Caenorhabditis elegans: one gene and its partners. The protein of the gene in region 2 purifies or fractionates together with the protein of the main gene of each other region. This does not show direct contact. Each region holds a gene or a part of one and is shown on either strand. Other genes may lie near its edges. The genes, in order: nep-24, C27D8.2 and Y73C8B.3.

Region 1 (5,148 bases), 4.2 Mb from region 2:
ACTGAATCAGACATTGTTCAACGATGAGAATATGAATGTGAGTTGGGTGGAATGGGCTTGTGCTCAAAGCTCACAGCGTTACAAGAAAATTCTTTATCTAGATTTGTAGAAATAATAATTTTCAGCTGGAAGCAATCATCCTTGACACACCCAAGCGAACACTGGCAAATTATTTGATCTTCAACTTTATTGACAGTTCATTGGACCATCTGGTTTTCGAAACAACTTCTCAAAAAGGAAACACTTGTGAAGATGTAAGTTGGGCCCAATTTATGTCGGCTGCTTCACAATATTCCTTTTTTGAAATGCAGGAGTTGTCACATGTTTCATGAATTTTGAAGCGCCCGACGTCTACCGGGATCCGCTAAAACACAGCTAGTATTGCAGCCGGGGTGGGCGTCGGCTGCTGCACAATCTCAAAAGGACTGCACAGCCGCCGACACCTCACGGGTTCCGCGCCTACGAGGTAGACACAGAGGGGTGCGGTACCCGTGAGATGTCGGCGGATGATACTGGTTGGGGTTGCGATTTTAGCATTTTCTCCGTGAATTTCCGGGAAAAAAAGGGCTCAGTCTTATGGATTTGTACGTACGTAAATGCCACGATGTACGAAACTCCTTTTTTTTCGAAGTCATCGCATACCTTCCCCCTAATGTCGCCAGGAGTTGTCTCATGTTTCATGAATTTAGAAGCGCCCGACGTCTGCCGGGATCCGCTACAGCACAGCTAGTATTGCAGCCCGGTAGGCGTCGGCTGCTGCACAACCTCAAACGACTCGAACGAAAGACAACACGTACATTTGAAATTAGAAAAACTGCAAAACAAATCCCAAAAATTAGGTCACACCGTTTTTGGGTCGTTTTCTGGGTTGGCAACTAAATCGGGACCCCAAGCAAATAACAGCCACCGACACCTCACGGGTTCAGCGCCTACCTACATCGTGATAATCTTAGTGGGATGCGGTACCCGTGAGATGTCGGCGGATAATATTGGCTGTACAAAAAATCCTATATTTTTTTAGAAAGTCATCACATACCTTCCTCGTGCATCTCTCCGAGTCTTCATTCGCAATTACGTCGACAAAGAGAACCGAGACCTGATCACCCAGCTGGCCGAAAAAACTCGAATCGCTCTTCACACTTTGGTTCAGAACTCCACGTGGCTAAAGGCAGAATCCAAACAACTTGCTCTAGACAAAATTAATGCGATGGGAAAGATGATTGGGTATCCGGACTTTTTCGAGCCACCGGGCACTTTGGATGGCATGTTTAAAAATGTAAGTAGTGAAAACTTATGCCTAATTTACTTAATTTTTTTAGCTAAATCTCGACTCATCTGACACGTACTACACAGCTCTCAACAAGCTCGAAAGGTATTTTGTTGAACAAAAAATGGATTATTTCGCAGAAGAGACACCTCTGGATCCAGATTTACGCGTTTTTGAAATGAATGCCTACTACTATATTCCCGGAAATCAGCTGAGTAAGTACTATTGGCTTTTAACCTAATTTTCAAAGAATTTCCAGACTTCCTTGCTCCATTCTTTGATGATCCAATGTTTGACTCGACCTACCCCGATTATGTGAACATTGCCATGTCTGGGAACATAATTGGTCATGAAATGGGTCACGCATTTGGTCCACACGCAATTTTGAGAACTGTCAGAGGACGGGAAGTGTGGATGAAACCGGAAGAACTTGCAGAATACGAGAGCAGGGCGCAGTGCCTGGCAAATCAGTACAGTGAATATGATGATCCAGATTTTGGACGAGTTGTAAGTGAAACTAGGTGATCTTGAAAAATGATTTTTCAACGAGAAATTCAGTTTGACGGCGGCAAAGTGATCGATGAGCTTGTGGCGGATAATATCGGACGGGAGGTTTCTTGGAAAATGTTTAAAAGTCTTGACTTGACAAATGCGACAAGGATTATTGGATTTGAAGACTATGACATTGACCAACTGTATTTCCGTGTTGGAGCCCTGGTGAGTCCATGTCGACCAATCAGCACGCGCCCTCATCGCTGATTGGTCGACACTTTGGTACAGTGTTGTCTAGCCATTCAACAGCCGACATAAAGCGGGACCATTAGATGTCGGGTGCTTTGAAACTAATATTAGCAGTTTTTTCTGAAAGTATCTATTTCAGACACACTGCACCCCTCATGCGATGCGTGATTTGAAAGGGTCTATCGAAAGTTCTCATCCTCGGAAAGCATTCCGTGTGAATGGAGTCTATGCGAATCTTCCAGAGTTTGCCAGAGCATTCAACTGCCCGACGGGATCTCCAATGAATCCGAGAAAGAAGTGTGATATGTTCTGAACTTGTGTTTTAGGTTTTTACTAGAAATGAACTTGATTCCTCCCTGATTTCTTGTTTTAATTTATAGTAACATTCTCATCATTTTGTTCAGAAAAGAGATACCATTTAATGAATCAGCTCAGATTTCTGATCAAATACGAATGTTGATCGGTGACAACAGGTGGTTTGTCTTTTGTTTGACATGTTTGAATTGAATCATTGATACGTTACTGTTCACCAAAACATTTATTTTTTGACAAACTTTTTTTCTGTTTCATGTATTCTATTTCAGTTTGTGTCGTTTTTATATTCTTACTGCTTGTAACATATAATTTCAGATAATGAGTCTACAAAAAGCCAAGGAAAAGCTGCCAGGATTTATGCTTCTTCTTCTTCTCACCTGTACTGCTCCACTCGCCATCGGAGCAACAACTCCTGCTACCCGAAATGTCTGTAATACTCCAGCATGCATCACTCTTGCTCACATGTTGGTAAGTTCCTAGCACTCTGGTTTCCAACTATATCAAACTTCCAGCACAACTACCACGACCCATCAGTTGATCCGTGTGACAACTTCCACCAATTCGCTTGCGGGAGAGAGCATGAGCACGAAACGGAAGATATTTACACGAAAAAAACAAAAACCATCAATAATATAATGAAAAGTGAGCTTTAGCTTTTATTCTTTTCTGTAATTTAGTTCCTGTTTCAGGATTTCTAAAAAAGAACGAGACGTCAAGATCGAAGTCGGAGAATGCTATGAGAACCTTGTATAAAGCGTGTAAAACCTTGGAGAAAGTAAGTTTTTTTTCAAAATTTTAAAAGCAAAATTTAATTTTCAGAATTCCACAGCCAGTCGTAACAAAGCTCTTCAGGACATTTTCCAAGATATTCAGAGCATTGGGGCTTGGCCAGTGGTGGATGATAAGTGGGATGAGTCGAAATTCGATCTGAATGATTTCCTTGTTAATCTAGTGAGGTTGGGAAGAAAAAATTTTGGACTATTTCAAATGGCACGGTATGTAAACGTTCGAAATTTTGCTATAGGCCCAGAAGCAGCTTGGCGTCACAACGTAGATCTCGGAAAGGTTTCGGATACAATTTTATACATTTTGCACCTTAAAAATTTGAATTTTCAGACAATTTCCGAGATTCTGAAAGCTAATTCTGTTCAGACGAACAATAAGAAGCTTCTAGACGATTTGGCAGAGTATGTTAATTTGGAGAAGGCGTTAAGCCAGCACAAGTTCAACACAGTTCAACCAGGATATATTTTTTCTGAGCGATCAGATTTTGTGTCAAGTGTGAATTTTTCAAGGCTCGTCTTGGAAATGATGAGCCCCGACAAAAGAACTTTATTCCCGGAAGTGTATCAGATTATGTACCTAACCAACACCTCGCTGTTTTTTGGAAAAAATAATAATGTAAGCATTATATTTTGATAGGGCTTCCATGTAGGCGCCAAAGCGCCTGCCTCTGCCTGCCGCGCCTCTTGTATTGTGCGGCGCGAAACCCAAAAAGTGTCGGCCGCTGCAAAAGAGCCACATTTAGCACTATGTGGTGTCTTTCATTTCTTGTCATTATGAGGCGAGAGGTCGGCGGGAGGCGGGCCGGCGTCAGGCCCCCGTCCTCCGCCTGCCTCGCGCGCAGAACCCGAGAGCCACTTTTCACACTTTATTGTGTCTTTCCTATCTCGCTAAAATAAGGTGAGAGGCAGGCGTCAGACCCTGAAACCGCGCCTGCCTCCAAAGCACTATATTTCGACTCTCCGGAAGATATTCTCCTTATAGCTTGAAACAATCATTCGGAACACTTCTAAAAGAGCATTGGCCAACTACTTGATCTTCAAATTCATCGATACGTCTATCGCAGACCTGACATATGGTTCCCCATCGGCATTTTGCGAACAGGTAGAGTACTATGATTTTTTTTTCTTTCGAAAAATTTATTTAGAAAGTCATCAACTTTCTCCCTCGTGCTGCTCTTCGTGCATTCTATCGCAACTTTATAAGTAAGGAGAATCGGAAGAAAATCACCAAATTGACTGAAGCCACCCAAGTTCAACTGTTGAAGATCATCGGCGCAACTGATTGGATGAGCATTAAATCGAAGAAAATCGCGATGGATAGAGTCAGCAGTATGAATATGGTAATTGGATATCCAGACTATTTTGATCCACCGGGAAAACTGGATGGACTATTCGAACATGTGAGTAGACCTCCTAGAAATCAGGGCTTGATAATTCAATTTTAGCTCAATCTGTCTTCATCTGACACTTATTACACGGTTGTCAGAAAAATCAATCGATTCATGCGTGAACAAGAGATGGACTATTATACCGGAGAAGTGCCGTACTATCCATTGTTCCCGGGACTTATGACTAATGCCATGTATAACGCGAATGATAATAATCTAAGTAAACTTGCAAGATAATTAATTATCATAATTATATATTTGCAGTGATCTTTGCCCCATTCTTCGATGATCCATTTTTCGACTCTAGTTTCCCGGACTATGCAAACATCGCATTCACTTCGAACACACTTGCTCATGAAATGGGACACACTTTCAGCCCGCATTTGATGGATATAATGACTGGTACAACAGAAGTTTGGCTAACACCGAAGGAGACAGAGGAGTACGAAAAGAGGGTGAAATGCCTGGAAGATCAATATACTGAGTATGACGATCCGGAGTACGGGAGAATTGCAAAAAGCTGTATAGTTTGAAAAAATACTCAATTTTATTAAACATTCAGTATAATGGATCGATGGTGATCGATGAGATAGTAGCAGATCGGATTGCAATTGATGTTAATTGGAGGGATTTCAAGAGTTCGGATCGATCG
Region 2 (5,148 bases):
GTCCGTATCGAATCTCAGATGGGAGCACAAAATGTTCTTAAAACTAATGCAACCCTCATGGTTCTCCTCGTCCTCGAGCTCTGTCGAGTCATCCCCACACTGTTCACAATGCATTTTGTCCTGAAGCAGGGCGTAATCAGATTCCTCCATTGTACGGATAACTTCTCCATTCACCATGAAGTATCGACGAGTTAGATGTTTGAATTGGGACCATGTTAGCGCTGGAAATTCAGAAAATTTTTCAAAAAAAGCAGCTGATATTCCAAAATGGCTAAGTATGTATTATATACTTTTGATCTTACCACAGATAACGTGTAAGGACTAAAAAAGGAGACTAGCCGTGGTGTCTACTCTACAGCACTTCTACAGTAACCTCACAATTATCTAATTTTGCCTGAATTACAGGAGATTTATCGAATAATATTTTCAGATATCCGAAAACTTCTTACGTTTTTCATTCCAATTCAACAGCAATCCATTAATCCCGCATGTTCCATACATCCAAAAACACGTGGCAGTATACGAAGAGTTCATTCTCTGAACCTGACAATCCTGATTTCTTCGTGTGCTTATTGTGAATGGAAGAGAAAGCGTTCGAACATGAATGTAATTTCCCGTTGGTGACCACGTTTTCGCACGGATGTAGAAATAGAATAGTGGACGCTTTCCGGTTGTTCCAGCACGACTGTCAAGGAGCACTGCGTCCTGAAATGAGGTTGGGGATTTATTTTTGTCTATATTTTTTAAAGTTTATAGGAGAAATTTTGCAGCTCTTAAGATTTAGAAAATCAAAATACTATTGTCAAATTGATTTCAACCAACCTTCTGCCTTGTCGTGCACAACAAATGTGGATACGTTGTCTGCCACGCATTTGAATTATCACTGAATGTTGGTGGAATTGTCACGAATTCCTGACTATTCACATCTGATTTCTTGTGAGCTGTATTTCCACCGGTACCCTTTTGATTCGCCGTCGCATTATTCCTTTTAACTCCAGAAGTTGGTTTCATAGCAATCAAAGCTGCCGATGGGAAGACTTTGGGCTCTCGTGGACTACTATTTCCCATTCGACATTGAATTATTTCGTTTTGAATTGCGAATGCGGTCTCTTCACTTACTATTTGGATGTCAAATGATTCGAATATCAACGTCTGAAAATTTTTGCTATTTTGATAATAATTAAGCTCAATCAGCTAAATTCAGGCTTAGGCTTAGACCTAAGCATAAGCTGAAACTTAGGCCTAGGCTTAGGCTTAGGTATAAGCTAAGGGTTAGGTTCAGGCTCAGGCTCAGACATAATCTAATAAACAACATGACAATTTTCGTAAATGCAAGACTTACCCTACACAAGGTGTGACACGTGAAAGTGAACAGATTATTCGTGACCATAATTGACGAATGGTTTGGCTCATTACACATCAGAGCATCATTCATCACATATTCATAGGTAATAAAGACTTCATTCAACAACTGCCACAACGTATCAGGCGTTGCAAATGTATTCTGTGAGCATGTTTGACATTCATATCGGAATCCTTGAATTCTCACAGCGAGAAGACCCAACGTGTATGCCAGTGAAGAATAGTAACTCCGGATCTCATAAGTGTCTTGCTCGACTAGTTTTTCCTGATTTGATAGTCGATTGACTTGAGCTCTTCGGAGGCTTGAGTGAAATCCCGGAGCATTTTCAGCACAAGTCCTGCGGAATGCAGCGAGGCAAGGTTGGAGCTGGAAAAGATTATAATAATTTCTATCAATCAAGCTTGAGGAGTTATGTTTAAAATTACTTCAAGTTATCTTATATAACAAAAAAAATTTCTGGAATAAAATTATGAGAAACCAAACAAGGCCCGCACGTGATGTCAGAGTGTCCCGCAATTTTGTAGATCAAACCGTAATGGGACAGCCTGGCACCACGTGGGTCCGCTCAATTTTCAGTTTTTGTTTTAAAGCAAAACTTTACGTACCTGTCTGGTGAAATAAGCCCTCATCTTGATTTCAATATTACAATTTGGATTGTCCAGTTGCGAGTACAACCCATGTAAATAATGAAGTGAACTATTGTACAACTCATGAAATTGTGTCCACCATTGCTTCGCTTCAGGGCACACTTTTGGAATTCGCATCGGACGAGCAATGTTTACAAGACGAACGAGGATATGGTTGAAGCTTTGAGTAATATCTCGTTCGGGTTCTGATGGTAGACGAGACAAGCATGTCAATAGTCCCCAGGCAAGGATCACCCATTCGTTTTCGAATTCATCATCGGTTATGTCTGTTGATGGAAGTGCTGGAAGAAAAGAAAAATCGGCAATTGTCGGAATTGCCGATTGTCGGACATTTTCGGCAATTTGCAAACCTAATTATATTTTGGAAATTGAAAAAAATCACTTTTTTCATTCAAAATCCACCTTTTTTATAATTATTCGGGTAGATATTTTTCAAAAGAAAAAGACAAAGGATTAAATCATTTGGAGCTTTAACATAGAAAATTGTTTATTAAAATGCATGTTAAGGCTCCTAAATCTATTATACAAAAGTATCAAATTTATATTTCCGGCAATTTTGATTTACTGCAATCGGATATTCCGGCAATTGCCGGTTTTCCAAATTTCCGGCAATCGGCAATGTTGGCAATTGCCGCGTACCTCTGCCCGTAACCCCTTTTCTGAAATTTGTACAACTACTGATTGCAATTCTCTTCTTTATTAACAATCGACATGTGTATTAGAAATATCTGGGATCGTAAATCAAAACGCGTATCACTGTCAATTTTATCTCTGTCTTCGTTCCCCTTCTCTTTCTCTCTCTCTTCTCCTGTAATCTTATCTCATTTGTATCTTCTACCCAAATCATCGTCTACCCAAACAAGGATTCGGGCGCCCTCGCGCCCACGTGGGGGTCTTGCTTGGAAGATCAAAACTCAAATCTCACCTTCTATTCGTTTTTCTAGAATCTGTTCGATGTGATTTCGCAGGATACCAATGTTTGACTCGATGTTGGTCACTTCCTGAGCTGTTTGGGGGTCTTTGCTGAGCTGGATTAGCTGAGAACAGAGGGAAATTGGTCGTTTGAAAACGAAAATCCACTAGCGTGAGCCCCAAATGGTAGAATTTGCGACGTGGCCTAGAAATGTGCAAAACTTGGCCACCAAAAAATGTGTTATATAATTCTTTCTTTCAAAGTTTCGAGTATGCACAAAAAGCTTAGTTTTACCAGTGGCTGAGTTTTTGACACTTTCTAGACCACGTGCAATCTAAACCCCATTCTAAACGTAAAAAAACTTACCAACTCATAGACAATCTTCTGATAATGATCAATTGTAGAGAATGGGGAAATCGTTTTGTGTGGTGTTGTCATTCTAACATAGCCTGTAGAATTTTTTGTTTGTAAATTGAAAAAAATTATATTGTGAGAGAACGGAAATGCTATTTCGAATGTAGAAAAATAAAAAGAACCAATAGAGAAAAGTAAAAATATTTTTTGGAAAAGCTACAAAGCTCCCCTCTTTATCAGTAACAGTTGAAACAAAAAACAAGAAAAAAATAAATTGAGAAACTCAAAAATACTGAAGTACGAGTATGTTTCATTTACTGATGCAATAAGATTGTTGATGTGATATCTATTTGATGATAAAGAAAACGTTAGAAAACAATGAAAACTTTCTGGCTTTCTAAAAACATTTTCCAAGAGATTCGCAAATTGACAACACATTTTGCTCTTTTTTTGTAATTTCGAAAAATGTTCAACACACGTTTTTGGAAATTTTTTGGAAGTGGCAGAGCTGTGTACGAGACACATGTGTTGAAACACACATTGAAAAATGGAGGCCGGGGATAACCTCTTCCACGGTTATGCTTTGCAGCTCGTGTACTCCCCGAGGAGAAGATTTTCTTTATGTCTTTGCGAATTGATTGATTTTTGGCTATTTTTGGAAACATTTTTAGTATTCAACATCAAAAAAGTAGTAGCTCAGAAAAAGGCTTTTGTACTTACTATTCAAAACCTATCGAGGGATATATTGGTAATTTTAATTATGAACCCAAAAAAATTACCGAAAGGCAACATTTTTTTTTCTACAAAAATTGTAAAAATTCTTTGTAAAAAAGGCACAAGGAAATTAGTAAGGAAATTTTTTTTAAAGCAAAAATTGCAGGAGGTTCAAGGACATTTAAAACTTAAAGAGTCAAGAAATGGGAGGAGTCAATTTGCGGGCTTTTAGAAGGGTTACTTGTTTTTTCACACAATTTTCATCTTAATCAATTTTTTTTATTTTTCACAAAAAATTTAAATTTAATTCCCGTGAAATGATTTTTGAAACACGTTGAAATTATATTATCTTAAGTTTCATCTACCACGTTCCACAGAAAAAAAATCAATAGAGAATGTCATTTGGAAAATTCAATCATTCCTATTTTACTTGCTTTCGCAAAATCGACGATTTTGAAGGGTCACTCAAATGGAAACAGATAAAAAGTCGTCGTGAGTTTTTGGGTCTCACAGCGAAGTCTGTAACTTTTTGATAAGTTTAAATTCTTCCAGCGATTCGAAAAAGAAAAAAGTTGGACTTCCGAAGCTAAAGTCTTCGGAATCGGATAACAATGTGATATCGAAAAAGGCAAAGAAGAAGGATGCGACCGGTGGTGGGAAGGTAAGAGAGAGTTTTAATAAAATGCTGCTGGTGCATGGATATACCTATGCCTAAGCCTAAGACTATTTTCGTAATTTTTTTGTTGTTTTTAGGTTGTCCGCCTTCTCGGCAATCGTACGGTCTACCATCTTCCCGTCGAGGAACTTGCTCGCTGCTCTCAGCTGGTCAAGCAACAGCAAACCGCCGGAAACCCGATGTCAACGGTCGACTTGCACCGCTTCAGCGATCAATCGATAATGGCTTTCGTGAATTATGTGCAGAACCAGGAGATCAAGTCCGATCTGACATACTATGCGATCACCGAGCTGGTCACGCTGGCGCACACCTTCCAGATGAAGGAGTTGAAGATGTATCTGGAAGATGTAAGAACCTACATACAATCATCTAAATATTCCTGGTTAAAAATAAATATTAAATTTCAGAGCATAGTCGAAGCGGCCAAGTCCTCCGAAGCAGATCTTCTCCAGACGATGATCGTCTGCGACGTGGCCCATGT
Region 3 (5,148 bases), on a different chromosome or scaffold from region 2:
CCGCAAACTGAAAATTGTAACTTTTTGAACCATAAATAGCTTTTCCAATTTCCAGTAATGAAATCGGTCGGATTTAAAATTCAAGACGGAGAGGAAGCCGTGGCGGTTATTCGAGCAATTATGAACTGTGACCTGGAAAAGCAACTGGAATACATTCTGAAATTGAATGAACAGCCCACAAAAACTATGATCACTTTTGGGGGAAGCGATCATTTAATTGAAAAGGAAATTGTTTTTGAAGCACTCAAAAAGTATCAGGGACTCGCGCATTTTGTAAGTTTTGTGATAGAAAAACTTGAAAAATTGGAAGGAATTTCAGAATTTCAAAGCGAACATCACAGAATCTGAAAAGCAGAAAATAATGGAGAGTTTCAAAAATCAAAAAGGAACATCTGTATTTATTGCAAAGGATAACCATTTTCAAAATAAGAAGCGGGCGGATTTATTGGCAGATGCTGCTAGATCAATGTTATTGAATTAGTATTATAAATAGTTTTTCAATTTTTTTTTGAATTATTCATTGAATTGTGTTATCAATAATAATAACTTATTATCAAAGCGTTAATTCTTAAAACAATTTCCTTTTGTGAGTCCTGCGCCGATTGATTATGTGAGCAAATTGTAAAAAATGCGTTCTTCCAACCTGTACTGCTGCAAGGGAACACAAATCCCTGTATTTGCATAGTGACAATGCCTCCCCTTCTTCGAGAGGAAAAGGTCACTCTCAATAGAGCGCGCTTGCTTACGATTACCCTCAATTTTACTTCCTTTTTCGACCTTTGAGATTCCACGAATAACACGGTTTATTCGAGTTCTTTATTGATTTTTTTGCAAAGAAATTAAATTATTTTGTCGAGTTTAAAAAATATACATATTTTACGCTTTAAAAATTTCATTTCTTATTTTTAAAATTTAATGTCAAAACTAATTATTGTACCGTTTTCTTTAATCAATACAATTTCAAGAATGACGGAGGTCCCCAGAGCACGAATAAGTGAGCCCAAGCTTTTGAAGAAGCTAGTGAAATTTCAAGCGGAAAATGAACAATTTGTGGAGTTGGAGGCGGTTTATGAGGTGTGGTTCGAAGTTTTACTTTAATCTAGTTTTTTTTCTGGATATTTGAACCAGGGCGGGCGGCAAACGACCTTTTCCGGCAAATCGGTAAATTGCCGGAATTGAAATTTTCGGCAAACCGGCAAATTGCCAATTTTTTTTTGGAAATCTCAGAATTTCAAATTTAATCGGCAAAAATTGTACGCATCCTAAGAATGCTTCTACATCTATTTTGAAAAATAAGCAAATTCTATGAAAATATCCAAAGAAAACGGGGAAAATTTTCAAAAAGGCACAGTTTTAAGTCCTATAAAAATCCCTCTGAAAACTTCTGGCAAGTTGAGGTTTGGCAAACAACAAATCAGCAATTTGCCGAAAATCAAAACTCCGGCAAGTCGGCAAACCGGTATTTTGCCAATTTGCCAAATTTGCCTACTAAAAAATTTGCCCCCCTAATATTAACTTTTCAAATTCAGGACTCTATCACTTCCGGCTCCCCGTTCGGTACTGTAGTTGCTTTCCACGGCTCCCCTGGGTCTCACAACGATTTCAAGTACATTCGGAGCAAGCTGGATGATCTGAATATTCGATTTATTGGAGTCAATTATCCGGGATTTTCAAATACGCCTGAATATGAAGGTCAACAACACGCAAATCCGGAACGCCAAAACTTCTCCAACGCTTTGCTAGATGAGCTGAAAATCGACGGAAAAATTATCTACATGGGACACAGTCGTGGATGCGAGAATGCTCTGCAAACAGCCGTCGGACGTGAAGCTCACGGTCTTGTGCTCATAAATCCGACCGGGTTCAGACATCATCAGGGCATTAGGCCATTTTATAGGCTGGAGTATTTGGACTGGATGTATGGGCTTTTGCCAAGTTTTTTGGGAAATTCGATGATTTTAGGAAGTAAGTAAAAATATTTATTTAGTTCATTTCAAATTTTAAAAATATTTCAGTCTACAAAGCTATCGGCTTCAAAGTGAAATCTGGAGAGGAGGCCATGTGCGCAATGCGGTCCGTGATGAGGATGTCGCTGGAAGATCAAATTGAGTACATTGAGAAGTTGAATCAGAAGCATGTAAGTTTTCAAAAAAGCCTATCGTCTACGCCCTTCTAATTTTGAAAATTTTCAGACCAAAAAACTAATCGTCTTCGGCGGAAACGACCACTTGGTAGAAGAAGAAATTGTCCTAGAGAAATTGGAGAAACATGACGGTTTGGAGCATTTTGTGAGTTAACTTCTAGCATCTCTACCATAAACTTAAAATTTTTCAGAGATTTGAAGATGGAATTTCTGAAGAGGAAAAGTCAAAAATTATGGAATGTTTTACGGGAAATCAACTTGGTGCATCAGTTTTCGTGGCGAAGGACACCCATTTTCAGAATAAATCACAGGCAGAGCTGGTCGCTGAGTCCTGCAAGAAAATGTTGGATGCATAATTTTTTCGAACGTTTACTGGACTTTTACAAGCATAAATTAATTTTTCCTATACTCCCGACGGGGTCTAGACAACTAAAATCCTTATCAATTTTGACATATTTTCCGCTACAAATGATATCAACTACACAGACGACAATGTGGCCAACACTACACCCATCTATCTCCGAACGCTTTTTTCTTACGTCTCTGCGCCTCATCTAACCCCTACACTATCTCTTCAGTTCACCCAACCTTCTCTCTGCGCTCTCTTTAAATACGTGAACTCTCGCATTGTCCCCATCATTTCCTAGTAGAAAAAAATCCACTAAAATTTATTTTTCCAAATAGTTTTAGTGTAATGATAACGTCGAAAGTGTTTCTGGCGGCCTCTGCTGGCCCATCAAAAGTTTTTCAAAAAATGACGGAACCAAATTTGTGCCGAAAATTGGTAAAGTTTGAGACGGAAAGCGGGAAGAAAGTGGAGCTGGATGCGGTTTATGAGGTTAGTTTTTTTTTTTTGGATTTTTGCAATAGGGTACCCGGTCTCGACACGACAAGTTTTTGTTAAATTCAAAAAGGTGTGCGCCTTTAAAAAGTACTGTAATTTCAAACTTTTTTTCTGCTAAGTTTCATCAATTTTTCATAGTTTTCTTCACAATTTGTTCAGAAGTTTAAATATTGTTTATTGTATTATTAAAGTTTTTCGAACAAAAAAGTATACTTTTCTGCCGAAAAACTATAAAAAAGCAATGAAACTTCAACTGAAACACGAGTTAGAAATTACAGTACTTTTTAAAGGCGCACATTTTGCATTTACCAAAAATTTGTCGTGTCGAGACCAGATACCGTATTATTGCAAAATTTAGTATTCTTGATAGTACTGGAAAACTTGCCAAAAAGCAAAATTATCAGCTAAAAGTTAAAAAAAAAATTAATTTTGTGTTCAAATTTTCTGATGGAATGATTTTTTTAAATTATGAAACGAGTAGAGCCAATTTTATATATTTAGGACTCCCTTACTTCCGGCTCACCATTTGGTACTGTAGTTGCTTTCCACGGCTCCCCTGGGTCTCACAACGATTTCAAGTACATTCGGAGCAAGCTGGATGACTTAAAAATTAGATTCATTGGAGTCAATTATCCAGGCTTCACGTTTACAAATGGTGAGTTGATTTTCTTTAATTCAAAAAAATTATTTTAAAATAATTAAATTTTGTAGAGTACCCCGACCAAAAACATATCAACATCGAACGGCAAAACTATTCGAATGCACTGCTGGATGAGCTAGGCATCGATGGAAAAATGGCGTACATCGGTCACAGTCGTGGATGTGAGAATGCTCTTCAGACGGCTGTGGCTCGAGATGCTCACGGAATTGTGCTCATCAATCCGACTGGTCTGAGGATTCATAAGGGAATCAACCCGATTTCTAGAATGACAACTGTGGATTCAATTTATAAAATGCTACCATTATTCCTCGGAAATGCCATGATGTTGGGCGGTGAGTTTTTTTTTTGAAAATTTGAAAACCTCATACTAAAACCCTTCTGAATTTCAGTATATAAAGCTTTTGGATTCAAAATCACTACTGGCGAGGAGGCCGTCAACTCGATGAGATCTATGATAAATGTCTCGTTGGGAGGACAACTTGAGTTTATTGAAAAGACAAACGATATGAATGTAAGATTGATAGTTCATTATTTTGAAGCTTCATCTTCACAATTTTTAGGTCAAAAAACTGATTGTTTTCGCCGGAAAAGATCACCTCGTCGAGGAGGAAATTGTTTTTGAGACGCTCGAGAAGCATGAAGGATTGCAGCATTTTGTAAGTTTTTTTTTTGAAAAGTAGCTTTATTATACAATACAATTATTTTCAGAACATTGACAAAGAGATCTCAGAAGCCGAGAGACTGAAAATCCTTGATTCCTTTACGGGGACTCAACGTGGAGCTTCGGTTTTCGTCGCGCAGGACAATCATTTTCAGAACAAATCGAGAGCCGGCCTGGTAGCTGAGGCTTGTAAAGCCATGTTTGAAAATGAGAAAACGAGTAGAAATAAATTGTGAATCATGTAATGAAGACTTAGAAGTGATTTTTTGAATTTTTTGTGTATTAAAAAAAAAACTAAAAGTGATTTTTTGCAAGTTTTGAAAGTTTTTTCCCGAAAATAAAGTTTATTCAGGGGTGGGCGAAAATTTTTATTTTTTGACAATTTACCGATTTGCCGATTTGCCGCACATCAATTTGCCGGAAGTTTTTGGAGGATATTTTTTATAAGAAAAAAAACTGTGCCTTTTTGAAATTTTTTTCCCGTTTTTTCTAGATATTTTCATAGAACTTGCATACTTTTCAAAATAGATGTGTTGCCGATTAAAATTGAAATTCTGAAATTTCCAAAAAAAAAATGTGCAAAACCACAATATGCCAATTTGCCGGTTTGTCGAAAGTTTTAAATGCTGAAATTTGCTGATTTGCCGATAGGCCGGAAATTTCGATTCCGACAATTTGTCGATTTGCCGATTTGCCGATTTGCCGGAAGCAATCGTTTGTCGCCCACCTATGACTCAAACCATTTTAAATTGTCCCAATATCTTGAAACATTTTTAGATCGGCCTTTTTTCCAATTTAAAAGTACTCTTAACGGCGAAATTTTGCGATATATAACTGAA

Evidence for each region.
Region 1: the proteins of C27D8.2 (region 2) and nep-24 fractionate together in Caenorhabditis elegans (co-fractionation; one large-scale study listed by BioGRID). This does not show direct contact.
Region 3: the proteins of C27D8.2 (region 2) and Y73C8B.3 fractionate together in Caenorhabditis elegans (co-fractionation; one large-scale study listed by BioGRID). This does not show direct contact.

Annotation. Positions count from the first base shown.
Region 1 is NC_003282.8:16,921,751-16,926,898, forward strand, and holds the start of nep-24 (NEPrilysin metallopeptidase family), read left to right. Parts: upstream 1-2,641; coding exon 2,642-2,791; intron 2,792-2,835; coding exon 2,836-2,965; intron 2,966-3,012; coding exon 3,013-3,098; intron 3,099-3,142; coding exon 3,143-3,388; intron 3,389-3,439; coding exon 3,440-3,724; intron 3,725-4,090; coding exon 4,091-4,210; intron 4,211-4,253; coding exon 4,254-4,508; intron 4,509-4,553; coding exon 4,554-4,716; intron 4,717-4,760; coding exon 4,761-5,029; 3' UTR 5,030-5,148. Other genes in the region: nep-23 (NEPrilysin metallopeptidase family), read left to right, coding at 1-37, 126-254, 1,022-1,276, 1,320-1,482, 1,527-1,774, 1,826-1,984, 2,148-2,321.
Region 2 is NC_003282.8:12,708,373-12,713,520, forward strand, and holds the start of C27D8.2 (BACK domain-containing protein), read left to right. Parts: upstream 1-2,844; 5' UTR 2,845-2,935; coding exon of another isoform or gene 2,936-3,047; 5' UTR 3,048-3,289; coding exon of another isoform or gene 3,290-3,361; 5' UTR 3,362-4,460; coding exon 4,461-4,483; intron 4,484-4,543; coding exon 4,544-4,652; intron 4,653-4,744; coding exon 4,745-5,014; intron 5,015-5,074; coding exon 5,075-5,148. Other genes in the region: C27D8.3 (Integrase catalytic domain-containing protein), read right to left, coding at 1-221, 450-705, 823-1,152, 1,343-1,729, 1,969-2,291, 2,936-3,047, 3,290-3,361.
Region 3 is NC_003283.11:3,190,820-3,195,967, reverse strand, and holds Y73C8B.3 (AB hydrolase-1 domain-containing protein), read left to right. Parts: upstream 1-2,730; 5' UTR 2,731-2,837; coding exon 2,838-2,981; intron 2,982-3,488; coding exon 3,489-3,642; intron 3,643-3,698; coding exon 3,699-3,980; intron 3,981-4,037; coding exon 4,038-4,159; intron 4,160-4,208; coding exon 4,209-4,304; intron 4,305-4,356; coding exon 4,357-4,545; 3' UTR 4,546-4,666; downstream 4,667-5,148. Other genes in the region: Y73C8B.1 (AB hydrolase-1 domain-containing protein), read left to right, coding at 56-273, 320-481; Y73C8B.9 (Transposase), read right to left, coding at 2,017-2,092, 2,391-2,410; Y73C8B.2 (AB hydrolase-1 domain-containing protein), read left to right, coding at 967-1,074, 1,530-1,965, 2,016-2,137, 2,193-2,288, 2,335-2,499.